2 linked regions of the Arabidopsis thaliana genome follow. The protein of the gene in region 1 purifies or fractionates together with the protein of each later gene. This does not show direct contact. Each region holds a gene or a part of one and is shown in the gene's direction. Other genes may lie near its edges. The genes, in order: NLP1 and ALDH12A1.

Evidence for each region.
Region 2: the proteins of NLP1 (region 1) and ALDH12A1 fractionate together in Arabidopsis thaliana (co-fractionation; one large-scale study listed by BioGRID). This does not show direct contact.

Annotation. Positions count from the first base shown.
Region 1 is NC_003071.7:11,736,787-11,741,522, reverse strand, and holds NLP1 (nitrilase-like protein 1), read left to right. Parts: upstream 1-1,924; 5' UTR 1,925-1,945; coding exon 1,946-2,121; exon of another isoform or gene 2,122-2,257; coding exon 2,258-2,306; intron 2,307-2,413; coding exon 2,414-2,505; intron 2,506-2,607; coding exon 2,608-2,759; intron 2,760-2,835; coding exon 2,836-2,882; intron 2,883-2,970; coding exon 2,971-3,004; intron 3,005-3,093; coding exon 3,094-3,260; intron 3,261-3,479; coding exon 3,480-3,576; intron 3,577-3,690; coding exon 3,691-3,857; 3' UTR 3,858-4,091; downstream 4,092-4,736. Other genes in the region: AT2G27460 (sec23/sec24 transport family protein), read right to left, coding at 19-72, 373-438, 526-853. UniProt on the Arabidopsis thaliana protein: Involved in polyamine biosynthesis. Catalyzes the hydrolysis of N-carbamoylputrescine to produce putrescine and ammonia.
Region 2 is NC_003076.8:25,098,503-25,105,187, reverse strand, and holds ALDH12A1 (aldehyde dehydrogenase 12A1), read left to right. Parts: upstream 1-1,875; 5' UTR 1,876-2,028; coding exon 2,029-2,117; intron 2,118-2,469; coding exon 2,470-2,549; intron 2,550-2,663; coding exon 2,664-2,767; intron 2,768-2,858; coding exon 2,859-2,926; intron 2,927-3,023; coding exon 3,024-3,081; intron 3,082-3,188; coding exon 3,189-3,302; intron 3,303-3,482; coding exon 3,483-3,566; intron 3,567-3,647; coding exon 3,648-3,752; intron 3,753-3,834; coding exon 3,835-3,948; intron 3,949-4,038; coding exon 4,039-4,170; intron 4,171-4,255; coding exon 4,256-4,345; intron 4,346-4,449; coding exon 4,450-4,539; intron 4,540-4,623; coding exon 4,624-4,836; intron 4,837-4,931; coding exon 4,932-5,042; intron 5,043-5,119; coding exon 5,120-5,199; intron 5,200-5,280; exon of another isoform or gene 5,281-5,281; coding exon 5,282-5,420; 3' UTR 5,421-5,923; coding exon of another isoform or gene 5,924-6,031; 3' UTR 6,032-6,124; downstream 6,125-6,685. Other genes in the region: UBC3 (ubiquitin-conjugating enzyme 3), read right to left, coding at 1-17, 97-186, 285-310, 385-509; SRO5 (uncharacterized protein), read right to left, coding at 5,924-6,031, 6,125-6,243, 6,327-6,571, 6,660-6,685. UniProt on the Arabidopsis thaliana protein: Plays a role in the inhibition of programmed cell death by converting the toxic proline catabolism intermediate (s)-1-pyrroline-5-carboxylate (P5C) to glutamate.

The DNA of each region.
Region 1 (4,736 bases):
AATTTGGTATGAAACGACCTTCCAGAGCGGCTAGCAATGCACTTTTTGTAAGCTCCAAAAATTCCTCAGAAGCTGCAGATAACAAAAATAATCATGAGCAAAAAGTGCAACATTTGAACAAAATTCGAAACAAATTTACTGCTACCACACCCTATCTCCAAAGTCATGACAAAATCACAACATAAGCAAGCCAAAAATCGATAAGAACAACAAAAAAGCATACAAACCCAAGCTAGAATCATAATCCATAGCAAAATGACACACACATTGCTTTCAAAATTCACAATCCAAAGTTCACTAACACACAATTCAAGTACAATCTACACTGATCACAATGAGCTTCGAACACAATATAGAAGAAATAAGCCTTACAAGAGATATCAATCGCCGCAACATACACAGGTCGTGCTTGCGTCATCTCTTCCTCCGATCCATCCACTAGAAAAACAAACAATTAATCAGAAATTAGAACCAATTCCAACAAAAAAAACAAAAGAATCAGTATAGAGATGACGTAAGACATACGAGGCATCTCAAGATCAATGAAGGAGGAAGTCATTTCAGGTATAGAGTGAGGATTAGAGTAACGAGCAATAGCATCAGAAGGAAGTCCATTGAGAGTTCCACAAAGCGAGCAATTCCAAGCCCATTGATCAAGCTCACAATAGGTATTGAAGTAAGCGTAGCAGTTTTCGCAACGAGGAAGAAGATGACCGTTAGATCCGCACGCTGGTCCGATTCCGTTCTCGTCTTTGGCCGCGAATGGTGTTACTGTCAGTCCCCAAGGAAGTCCTGACGCCTCTTGAGCGTCTGAATCGATCGGAAAACGCGACACCGTTGCTCTCACTGCCATTGTTTCAGATCAGATCCTTCCAAATGTGAAAATTTTGATTCTGGTTTTAAGGTTTTCGGAGATTTGGTGAAATTGGATGAGCACGGTGGAAATTAGGCGCACGTTAGCTTTTCCAGTAAAATTCGTCTCCAGCGCACGTTAGCTTTTGTGAACGTCTTTTTTTTTTGGAAGTTTTTTTTTCCAACATCAAAGAGGCCAATGATTTAAAGGTGGAAGTAGTGATGGTACTACATATGTATAAACATGGAGTGATGCAACAACTCAAGTATAAGACCATCATCGCGAAGATTAAAGACCTGAGGAAATTCACTATATTTTGTTCTTCTAGAGAGCTCGAACTTAAAAGATATATTATACTCTATGTTTACTCGGGGGATAACGTCAATATGGTGTCAATGTAGACATCAAAGAGTTTGAAGATCAAGTACAAGACTCCTCAATTAAGTATCTTGTTGGATCACTGAATATTGTTATACCTTCTAGTTTTCTAGGTAAGAGATTGTTTAGTCGAATACAGATTTTATTGATGAAGAAAAGAAAGTGATTATGTATTGTGGGAGATGCGAGGATTTCACGGAGAACATGATGTACATTATTGGAAGGCATGGTTGCAGAAAATTCGATTATTGTACAAACCAATTGAAATATTGTCCCTGGTTTCTCTTCAGTTATTATGTCTCTGGTTTCTCTTCAGTTATTATGTTCTAAGTGATTATGTTCCAAGTTTAGTTATTTTAAATCCACCAATGTAACTTTTACCCACCAACACTTATTTTGTATCAACTTGTTTATGTCTTGTGCATATAGTAGATAAGTGTAGAAGAATCTAAAATAAGACCATACAAGGATTAGGATCCCTCATTCATAAAACATCTAAAATGTTCCAACTCAATTTGGGGTTTTACGTCTGCGTTTGCGTTTGCGTTTGCGTTTGTGAACGCCTTTATTCGATTTTGGAAAAGAAAAAATGTTCTGTTCTATTTTGTTCTCTCTGCTAGTCACAGTCAAATGAGTCAGCTACCTTATATTCGATTTTGAGCGTCCTTAAATTCCTTCACTGTGAGAAAAAACACAGAGAAAGAGAGAGAAACAATGGAAACGGAAGGAAGAAGACGAGAAGTGGTTGTTTCATCTCTCCAATTCGCTTGCTCCGACGATATCTCCACCAATGTCGCCGCCGCTGAGCGGTTCGTCTCTCTCTCTTCCTCCCTCCCTCTCTCTAATTATCAATCTCTCCCATCTTCCTCCTCCTTCAAATTTCCATATGCGTATAAGCTTCTCGAGCAATTTATTGTGATCACGGACCTTTGGAATCGAACTATTCAATTTCAAGCTCTGATATAGATTCCCCCGTTCGAATCCGATTTCAGTATCTGAGAATGGAATTGTTTACATTTTACGCAGATTAGTCAGAGAAGCTCACGCTAAAGGAGCTAATATCATTCTTATTCAGGTCATTGTTGCTCTTCGAAATTGTTTCTCAGATTTATAAGTGTTTTTGATTGATCTAGTATCCAATCGTCTTAGCTAGTCTTATGTAGTTTAGTTTCTGTATAACAGGAACTTTTTGAAGGATATTACTTCTGTCAAGCACAAAGAGAAGACTTCTTTAAGCGAGCCAAGCCTTACAAGAACCATCCTACCATTGCAAGGTGTGACATTGCTTATCCGATTTCTAACGCAGTAAAGTGGAATCTCGATGTATCTATGTACTATCTAGTGTTTTAATGGTTGGATGGTTTAATTTAACACAGGATGCAGAAGCTGGCAAAGGAATTGGGTGTAGTGATACCTGTTAGTTTCTTTGAGGAGGCAAATACTGCACATTACAATTCGATTGCTATAATTGATGCTGATGGAACTGACTTGGGAATTTATAGGAAGTCTCATATTCCTGATGGACCTGGTGAGTCAAGTTTGGAGTTGGAAATATAGCTTGAGTTTCTTGTTACCTTTTTGCTGAGACCTCTTTTTATCTTAAGGTTATCAAGAGAAGTTTTATTTCAATCCTGGAGATACTGGCTTTAAGGTAGTTTTTAAAAGAAGAATCTCAAATTGAACTGTTATGTTATTTGGTTCACATGATTGATCTCTTCTTCTCCCTTTGGCTTGAATAGGTTTTCCAGACGAAGTTTGCTAAAATTGGAGTGGGTAAGATGCTCTATGCAGAACTCTGTTTCTAATGTCCTTTTCGTTGTTACTTCATCTTAATTGATGTACTAATGAAATGTATTGTTTAGCTATATGTTGGGATCAGTGGTTTCCTGAGGCAGCTCGAGCTATGGTTCTACAGGGTGCTGAAATACTGTTTTATCCCACTGCTATTGGTTCTGAACCTCAAGACCAGGGATTGGATTCGCGTGATCATTGGAGGAGAGTTATGCAAGGGCATGCTGGAGCTAACGTGGTAAGCTATTATTATGTCTTAAACATCTCAGTTTTCAAAGTCATTAGTGTCTTATCGGATTGCTATGAGCCTAACTTATAACTGAAAGCTATTTTACAGTAACATTAGAAATAGATTACATGTATCTAGTTTGTTCCGTTATTTCTACTGATTAGAACTTGCCAAAATGTGCTTCAAATGGTTTGCTAATGAGTGAGGCAATAATACTTTGGGTTTCAGGTACCTCTAGTAGCCTCAAATCGCATAGGGAAGGAAATAATTGAAACTGAGCATGGACCTAGTCAGATCACTTTCTACGGAACTTCCTTCATTGCCGGTATCAGTTTATAACTTATTCAGATGAGATCAGTAATTTTGAAGTTTAGATGCAAATTTATCAATAAGCATTTTCCCAACAGTTTGTCACAATATTGTTGTTATAATATGACAGGACCAACAGGTGAAATTGTGGCCGAGGCAGATGATAAATCGGAAGCTGTTCTTGTAGCACAGTTTGATCTTGATATGATCAAGTCGAAAAGGCAAAGCTGGGGAGTGTTCCGTGACCGTCGTCCAGATTTGTACAAGGTGCTTCTTACTATGGATGGTAATCTCTAAATCTTTTGCTGTTGGAAGCTTTGATCTTTTGTTTAAGATCACACTGGGGAAATCCATTAACAACAATTATTACTGGCTTAACCTTAAAGGGTAAGTAAGCCCAAAAATAAAAGACCAGAAAAAGTTTAATACATCTCAAAATTTGTTCTGGCACTTTCATCTTTCTAGGTTGTCATATGGAAAAAAATTCGATACGTTTATATAAACACTAATGCATAAGTTGTATTTGGAACAATTAGCCTAAGTTACATGCACCTTCGATAACGAAAAAGAGAAATCAATCGAAACACATAATACTGCTAACGACGTTTCCAACTCCAACGGCTGTCTTCATGTTTCTTGTTTCTTTCGATCATTAGCATTCACTGCGCTTGATGGTTTGTGTTCATCAGCAAGCAGTGTTATTCTCTCGGATTCTTCGTTGTCCAGATCATCAACATCTTCTCCTTCTTCTTCCTCTACTTCTTCAAGAACATATATTTCTACTTCTTGATTATATTCTTCGACATTACCATCTTCAGCTTCACTTCTGTTATCACAAGGATCTACATTTGAAGTCGCAATTTTCCTTTCTCTGAGTGTTTTGTCTGTGAGGTTCCTCAGCAAGTTCATCACTTGCACTGCATACATTAATGCTGTTAAAGGATCTGCCATCTGCAGTAAAACCAAAACAGACCCAGTATGCGGATCAGAGGCTTGATATATTGATGCATTCTGGTATTAGCACTAAGATAAAACTGACATTATCTGTGTAAGATCAATGTGAGTAGAGAAAAAAAGGAAACTCTTGGAAAATTGTGATGTGGTGCAAGAAGTGACCTGGGACATGTTGGGTGCAAAGACTAAAGCTAGATTACGGGAGGTCATCTTGTTGACAAC
Region 2 (6,685 bases), on another chromosome or scaffold:
GCTTCCATCAGCATAAACTGCACCAAAGTTCAATTATCAAAGTCGAATTTCCTAATTGGTCTATTACTATGTTGTTCACTGAATGCTTGGGCTTACTGTTTGGATGAAACATCCGTGAAACAAACCGAACAATCGGGGGTTTGTTCGGATAATCCTCGGTGAAGTGAAGAGTCAACTTGAAAGTACCTGATGAACACAACAGACTGATTATTTTAGCTATAAGTTTAACTCATGACAATATCTCGGTCTGCAGCAATAGCCAATAAGTACTGAAAGATAATTACCTCCATCCCATGGAGTGTCCTCAGGTCTGCAAACAAAGACAATGAAGAAATAAGTTTACAAAGCCATGCTTTGAAGAGAAAACAAAACAAAAAGTTATACCCAAAGATGAGAGCATTCCAATGCATGATATTGTTATCTTGTGGAGCTCCACTTATTCCCACAGGAGGATCTTTCTGCAGTCTCTTGAAATCCCACATCAGTCTCTTTTTTGCTGGAGTTGTCATTGCTGTTGGAAATTCACAGACTGCATCCAAATATGAAAGATTTCAACTTTACTCTTACAAACTCATTTCATAAGTCACAAAGTAAGAGCAATTGCATGAACTAGGCTTTAAATTTCTGATTAAAGTTTCAATTTTTTTTCAGACCCAAAAAAAGTAGAAGCAGAGACCAAGATCTACATTTCTATAACCTATCATCATAGTTTAACAAAGACTTAAGCTTCAACAACCATATAGCCCAAAAGGTCAGAGAACAAGAATCACCAAACTTCTAGACAAGAAAGCTTGAAGCTTGGATTATTTCAACTAGCAAATTAAGTTCGACTCAACGATAGTAGCTGTGTATAAATTCTGAATTTAAATTCTGAATTTAAGTAGATCAAGAGTACAATTATCGATTTCAACGAGCCTTAGGATTAGATTATACAATCACCTATGAAAGATTTGATCTTCCGATGTCATGCATCAAATGAAAAAGCTCGATTAACCTAAAATTACCTGAAGTTCAAAGCTGCAATGAAAAGTGATTCGCAACACTAGGAATTAGGGTTTTTCCAATGTTTTTCATAGACCGAAAGAGATGATGAAACTATTATGAGTGGAGAATAAATAAAGTATATATAGAGGGAGAGAGAATCAAAGTTGAGATTTTTCTTTCCTTTTTCTTCACCAAATAAAGGAAGAGAAGAAGAAAACACAAAGAAAGTTTAAAATGAAAAAATCATATACTATTTTAAGAAAATAAAATACAAAACTTGCCAGAAGAAAAAAACATATATATATTTTCTTCCAAAGACGAAAAAAGACTTTTATAATTTTAATACAATTTTAATATTATTATTTTTTATTTGTCGGTTCGTGTAAAAGACAAACGTATACGTCTATTACTCAATGGGCCAATGGCCCAAGCGGACGTGACTCAGCAAGCTATCACCATTTTAATACTTATTTATCTATCAAGATTTATTTATCTATTTTGTAATTGACATCTGTGTTCATCTTACAAAATTCCTTGGTTGATCCCTGGATTTGATGTCAAATATCACTAATACTATTGATTTTCCAATTTAAATTTCAAAAGAGTAAAACAGTAGATAATAATCATAAATCTCTTTTTTTTTTTGTACCAATTTTCATTATTAGTTTCCCTTGATATTTAACTAATTACTATTCCATTAGTCGAATTGATTAGAGGAGGTCTTTAAAAGAGATTTACTATTATTTTTATTTTTTGCTCAACTTCTTCTTCCTCATGAGTCATGACTCATCACATCAGGGTTTATAAGAAGCCATTAGAAACTATGGGGTAAAAAAGATAATAACCTAGAAATAAGAAATTATCTGTAAATATCTTTAAATCATTAATGTATTTCTCGTCAATCAGGGGAAAAACATTTAATTCTTTAATAAGCTGCTAAACACAAATCACTCGAGAATTCGCTATTTTATCACCAATCTTCTTGAATCCTCTCATCCAATCGTCTGATTCTCATCTTTCTCCGTTACTTGTGGATCTTACGCAATGTATAGAGTTTTTGCGAGCCGAGCACTGAGAGCTAAGTCTCTCTGTGACAAATCATCCACCTCGCTTGCTTCTTTGACTCTCTCCAGGTTTTTCAAACGTCCTGATCTCACCAAATTATTTCTTGTTTTGTGTTAAACATTGCTCTTCGTCTTTTGGGGTTGCATGTTTTTGCCTAAAGTAATAGACTTTCCATTTGTATATATATATAAATAAATAAAAGAGAAAACTTTAGCAAGTTGGTGTATTAAAAATTTGAGATTTAGATCATCGAGTAGCCGCATCTGCTCAGTCTCTATGTAATGAAGAGAGTGTTAGCTGATTAGAGTTTGAAATGGTACTTTATGTATTTGTGTTCTGATTACTCTTTGATGTCTGAGAATGTGATCCATTTAAAAGAGTGTTCCTTTGCCTTAATTTTTGTGTTTATGGATCTTGCAGATTGAATCATTCCATACCTTTTGCTACCGTAGATGCCGAGGAGCTCTCTGGTGCTCATCCTGCTGAAGTACAGAGCTTTGGTATGTCTTTACTTCTCACTGATTGTGCGTTGACGCTATGGAAATGAGTAATAGCTTGTTGGTTAAATGCTGTTGTGAAGTCTCTGAGTTCTACTTTCATTGTTATGTCTATAGTGCAGGGAAAGTGGATAGGATCGTCAAATCATAACACGCTTCTAGATCCTCTAAATGGAGAACCGTTTATCAAAGTTGCGGAAGTGGATGAATCAGGAACTCAGGTACGAGCCTATCAAAAACCGTTGATCGTATCACAATGTTGTTTATCCGTGTCAATTCTAACTTTCAGTTTTCCTCTGTTCTATGTTGTAGCCATTTGTGGACAGCTTATCCCAGTGCCCGAAACATGGTCTCCATAACCCTTTCAAATCTCCAGAGAGGTATGATTTGGTTGAGGTTTGGTGCTATTTCTTCTTGTTTTGTCATTTCCCATTTTGTTTCATATATGAAGGATAGTAATGGTCTTGTTTTCTACAGATACCTTTTATATGGAGATATCTCGACAAAGGCAGCTCATATGCTCGCCTTACCTAAGGTAACACATACTTTTTTTGTTGAATCTCGAGTCTTGAATTCAAAAGGTTTTGTTTTCTGAATAACATGCATACTGAGCTACTGTTGTATGCGTGTATACACTATTAGGTTGCTGATTTCTTCGCGAGGTTAATTCAAAGGGTTGCTCCAAAGAGTTACCAGCAAGCTGCTGGAGAAGTCTTTGTCACACGGAAGTTTTTAGAAAACTTTTGTGGTGATCAGGTACATTACTCTCTTCACCATTTTTTATTTTGGTTCCTGGCTATTAGTTTCAACAACTTAGTAATTCTTGAAGGCATGTTCTCAAAAATGCCTATATAGACATTTCATGTTTGTGGCTGAATTTCCGAAATTACATCTTTAAATGTATGTTTATGATTTCGCTTCACTTTCTTTTATCAGGTGCGGTTCCTGGCACGGTCTTTTGCAATCCCTGGGAATCATCTTGGGCAGCAAAGTCATGGTTACCGTTGGCCTTATGGTCCTGTAAGGCATTCTTCCTAGATGGTTGTAATTGGTGAGAACTCTGTCTGTGCTTTGTTTTGAAATCATAGATTTGTAATGCAGGTAACGATTGTTACACCATTTAATTTTCCACTTGAGATTCCACTACTTCAGTTGATGGGGGCATTATACATGGGTAACAAACCTCTTCTTAAAGTGGACAGCAAGGTATAAATTACTCTTCACATTACTATAGTTCTCGTAATTGTATTGGTTCCATCTGTTTGATAATATAATGTTATTTGATTAGGTAAGCATTGTTATGGAGCAAATGATGCGATTGCTCCACTATTGTGGTTTACCCGCTGAAGATGTGGACTTTATAAATTCTGATGGGAAGACAATGAACAAGATATTGTTAGAGGTATTTGGTCAGGAATTCACAAGTCTATTGTCTCCACAGGGTTTTTAGTTGAGCTAATTCAGTGTCTTGTCGATTTGTAACTTCTTTCAGGCGAACCCACGGATGACCCTCTTCACGGGTAGTTCTAGAGTAGCTGAAAAGTTGGCACTTGACCTTAAGGGTCGAATCAGATTGGAAGATGCTGGATTTGATTGGAAAGTCTTAGGACCAGATGTTCAGGAGGTTTCTTATTATACCCTTCCGTATTTGTATTTCCACAAGTCTCCTTAAATGTGATTGTAACCCTTGTTTCGGTCTCTAATGTCAGGTTGATTATGTTGCATGGCAATGTGATCAAGATGCATACGCGTGCAGTGGACAGAAGTGTTCTGCACAGTCTATGCTTTTTGTTCATGAGGTTGGTTTGATCCTAATTGTTATGGTGAAACTACCTTTGAATCTTTTGTTTACTTCCATTTTCTTCTGTCTTTGTTGTTTTCAATGTATTTTCTCTCTGAGCAGAACTGGTCAAAAACCCCTCTTGTTTCCAAATTAAAAGAACTAGCGGAAAGACGCAAACTGGAAGACTTAACCATTGGTCCTGTCCTTACAGTGAGTTTCATTGTTTCTCCATCTGTTGTTAATCATCTGATGAGATTGTATCATTAAAACTTATTTTTTCATTATTGTTTCAAGTTTACAACTGAGGCAATGTTGGAGCACATGGAGAATCTGCTTCAGATTCCTGGCTCAAAGCTACTCTTTGGTGGCAAGGAATTGAAGAATCATTCGATTCCTTCAATCTACGGAGCTTTGGAGCCAACTGCAGTTTATGTTCCCATTGAAGAAATCTTGAAGGATAATAAAACCTACGAACTCGTCACCAAAGAAATCTTTGGACCATTTCAGGTTACCTTGATATCGACTTTATTAGCTTTGTCTAAATGATCTTGTGTGTTTCTTTTACTGAAACGTATAGTGTTGTTTCTGTATATGATATCCAGATTGTAACGGAATACAAAAAGGATCAACTTCCTCTAGTGTTGGAAGCATTGGAGAGGATGCACGCTCATCTAACTGCAGCTGTTGTTTCAAACGATCCCATCTTTCTTCAGGCAAATCTTTTCACAATTATCATCAATCAATCTCTTATTCTCTATCCCTTCGATATTGATGTAACAAATCTGTGCAGGAAGTAATAGGGAACTCAGTGAATGGGACTACATATGCTGGACTAAGAGGAAGAACAACTGGAGCTCCTCAGAATCACTGGTGAGAGGAAAAATCACACTCCCAAATTAAAGTATCTATTTCTATTTCTTTGAGGAAAAGTTAAACTATCATATAAACACAGGTTTGGACCTGCGGGGGACCCGAGAGGGGCCGGGATAGGGACACCAGAGGCTATAAAGCTGGTTTGGTCATGCCACAGAGAAGTCATCTACGATTATGGTCCGGTTCCACAAGGTTGGGAACTTCCTCCATCTACTTAGAAGTGGTGTGTCCACTAATAATTAATAAACTAAGATCTTAGTGTGCTGTTGCATCAAATAAATATGAGTTTTGTAGTTTTATCTCTACGAGTAGTTTCCGTGTGAGGGAATAAGAGCTTGAAACATGAAGTTTTCAACGACGTTGACTTAGTCAAGGGGTAGAGGGATTAAGACAGAGAGAGAACTATTGTAAAACTCAGTCCACCAGAAATTTTCTTCAGCTCAAAGCCAGACAATAATACAAATGTTTTTGAAAGAAGAAGAGTGAAAAGAAAAACAAGATGATAACTTGTTAATGTTCTCTTCATTAATAATGTTGCTAAGACCCTAATCTAATCGATCTTAAATAATCTAATGAACAGTTTTTTTTCATCACTATCATGGGAAAACAATAGAAAGGGACTCTACCAGTCCTGATCATTTTGGAGTTGGTAAACAGACAAATACAACCATGGTGATTGTGTCCTTGAAACAAAAACGCCAAAGTGATCTGCAATGGAGATTTAGTGTTGTACTTTATGTCCACAAGCTTTGATGATGTGAACTAGTAACTTGTCTCCGGTTATGCTTCTGACTCGTTGGATTAGTTCGCTCCGTGTAATTCTCCTATTCTGTTAAATCCAAAGGAAAGCAACAATTAGAATGTGAAATGAAATCACCTCAAAAGATAATTGAAGAGGAAACAAACAAAAAAAAACACTTACTTGTTGATCTTTGTAATGTTTCTGAATGACAAGTATTTGAGAAGGAGGTAGAAACTTGGACAATGCTTTGATCAATACAGGAAATGCCATCCATGGTGATCTCAATCTCTTTGGACTTCCTGCAAAAACAGTTATAACTATGTCAAAAAACCATAAACAAGAACAAGAAAAACTCAAGATTAGAGATTTTGATTTTGCTTACGAGTTAGGTTAAATGGAGCTTTGATGCAAACAAGAAACTCAGGCAAAACATGAGTGTTCATGTGTGTACTCCACACAATATACTTCTTCGTAGAAACTAAATCATCCACACCAGAATCAAACTCTGGTGAACTTGGACATGATCTAGTCGAGCCTTGAGGAACAATCTCTGATTTTCCAAGTAGAACTCTACAAAGCAACAAGAATCTCATCCCATCTTCTGATTCTGAAGCTGAATCCTTCAAACTAATCAAACAAACAAACACCAAAAATGAGATTTTGAGACCAATGAATTTCGAAAAATTGAAACTTTTAGAGATTTAGAGAAACTTACCAATCAAGAGGAGAATTATCCGGCGA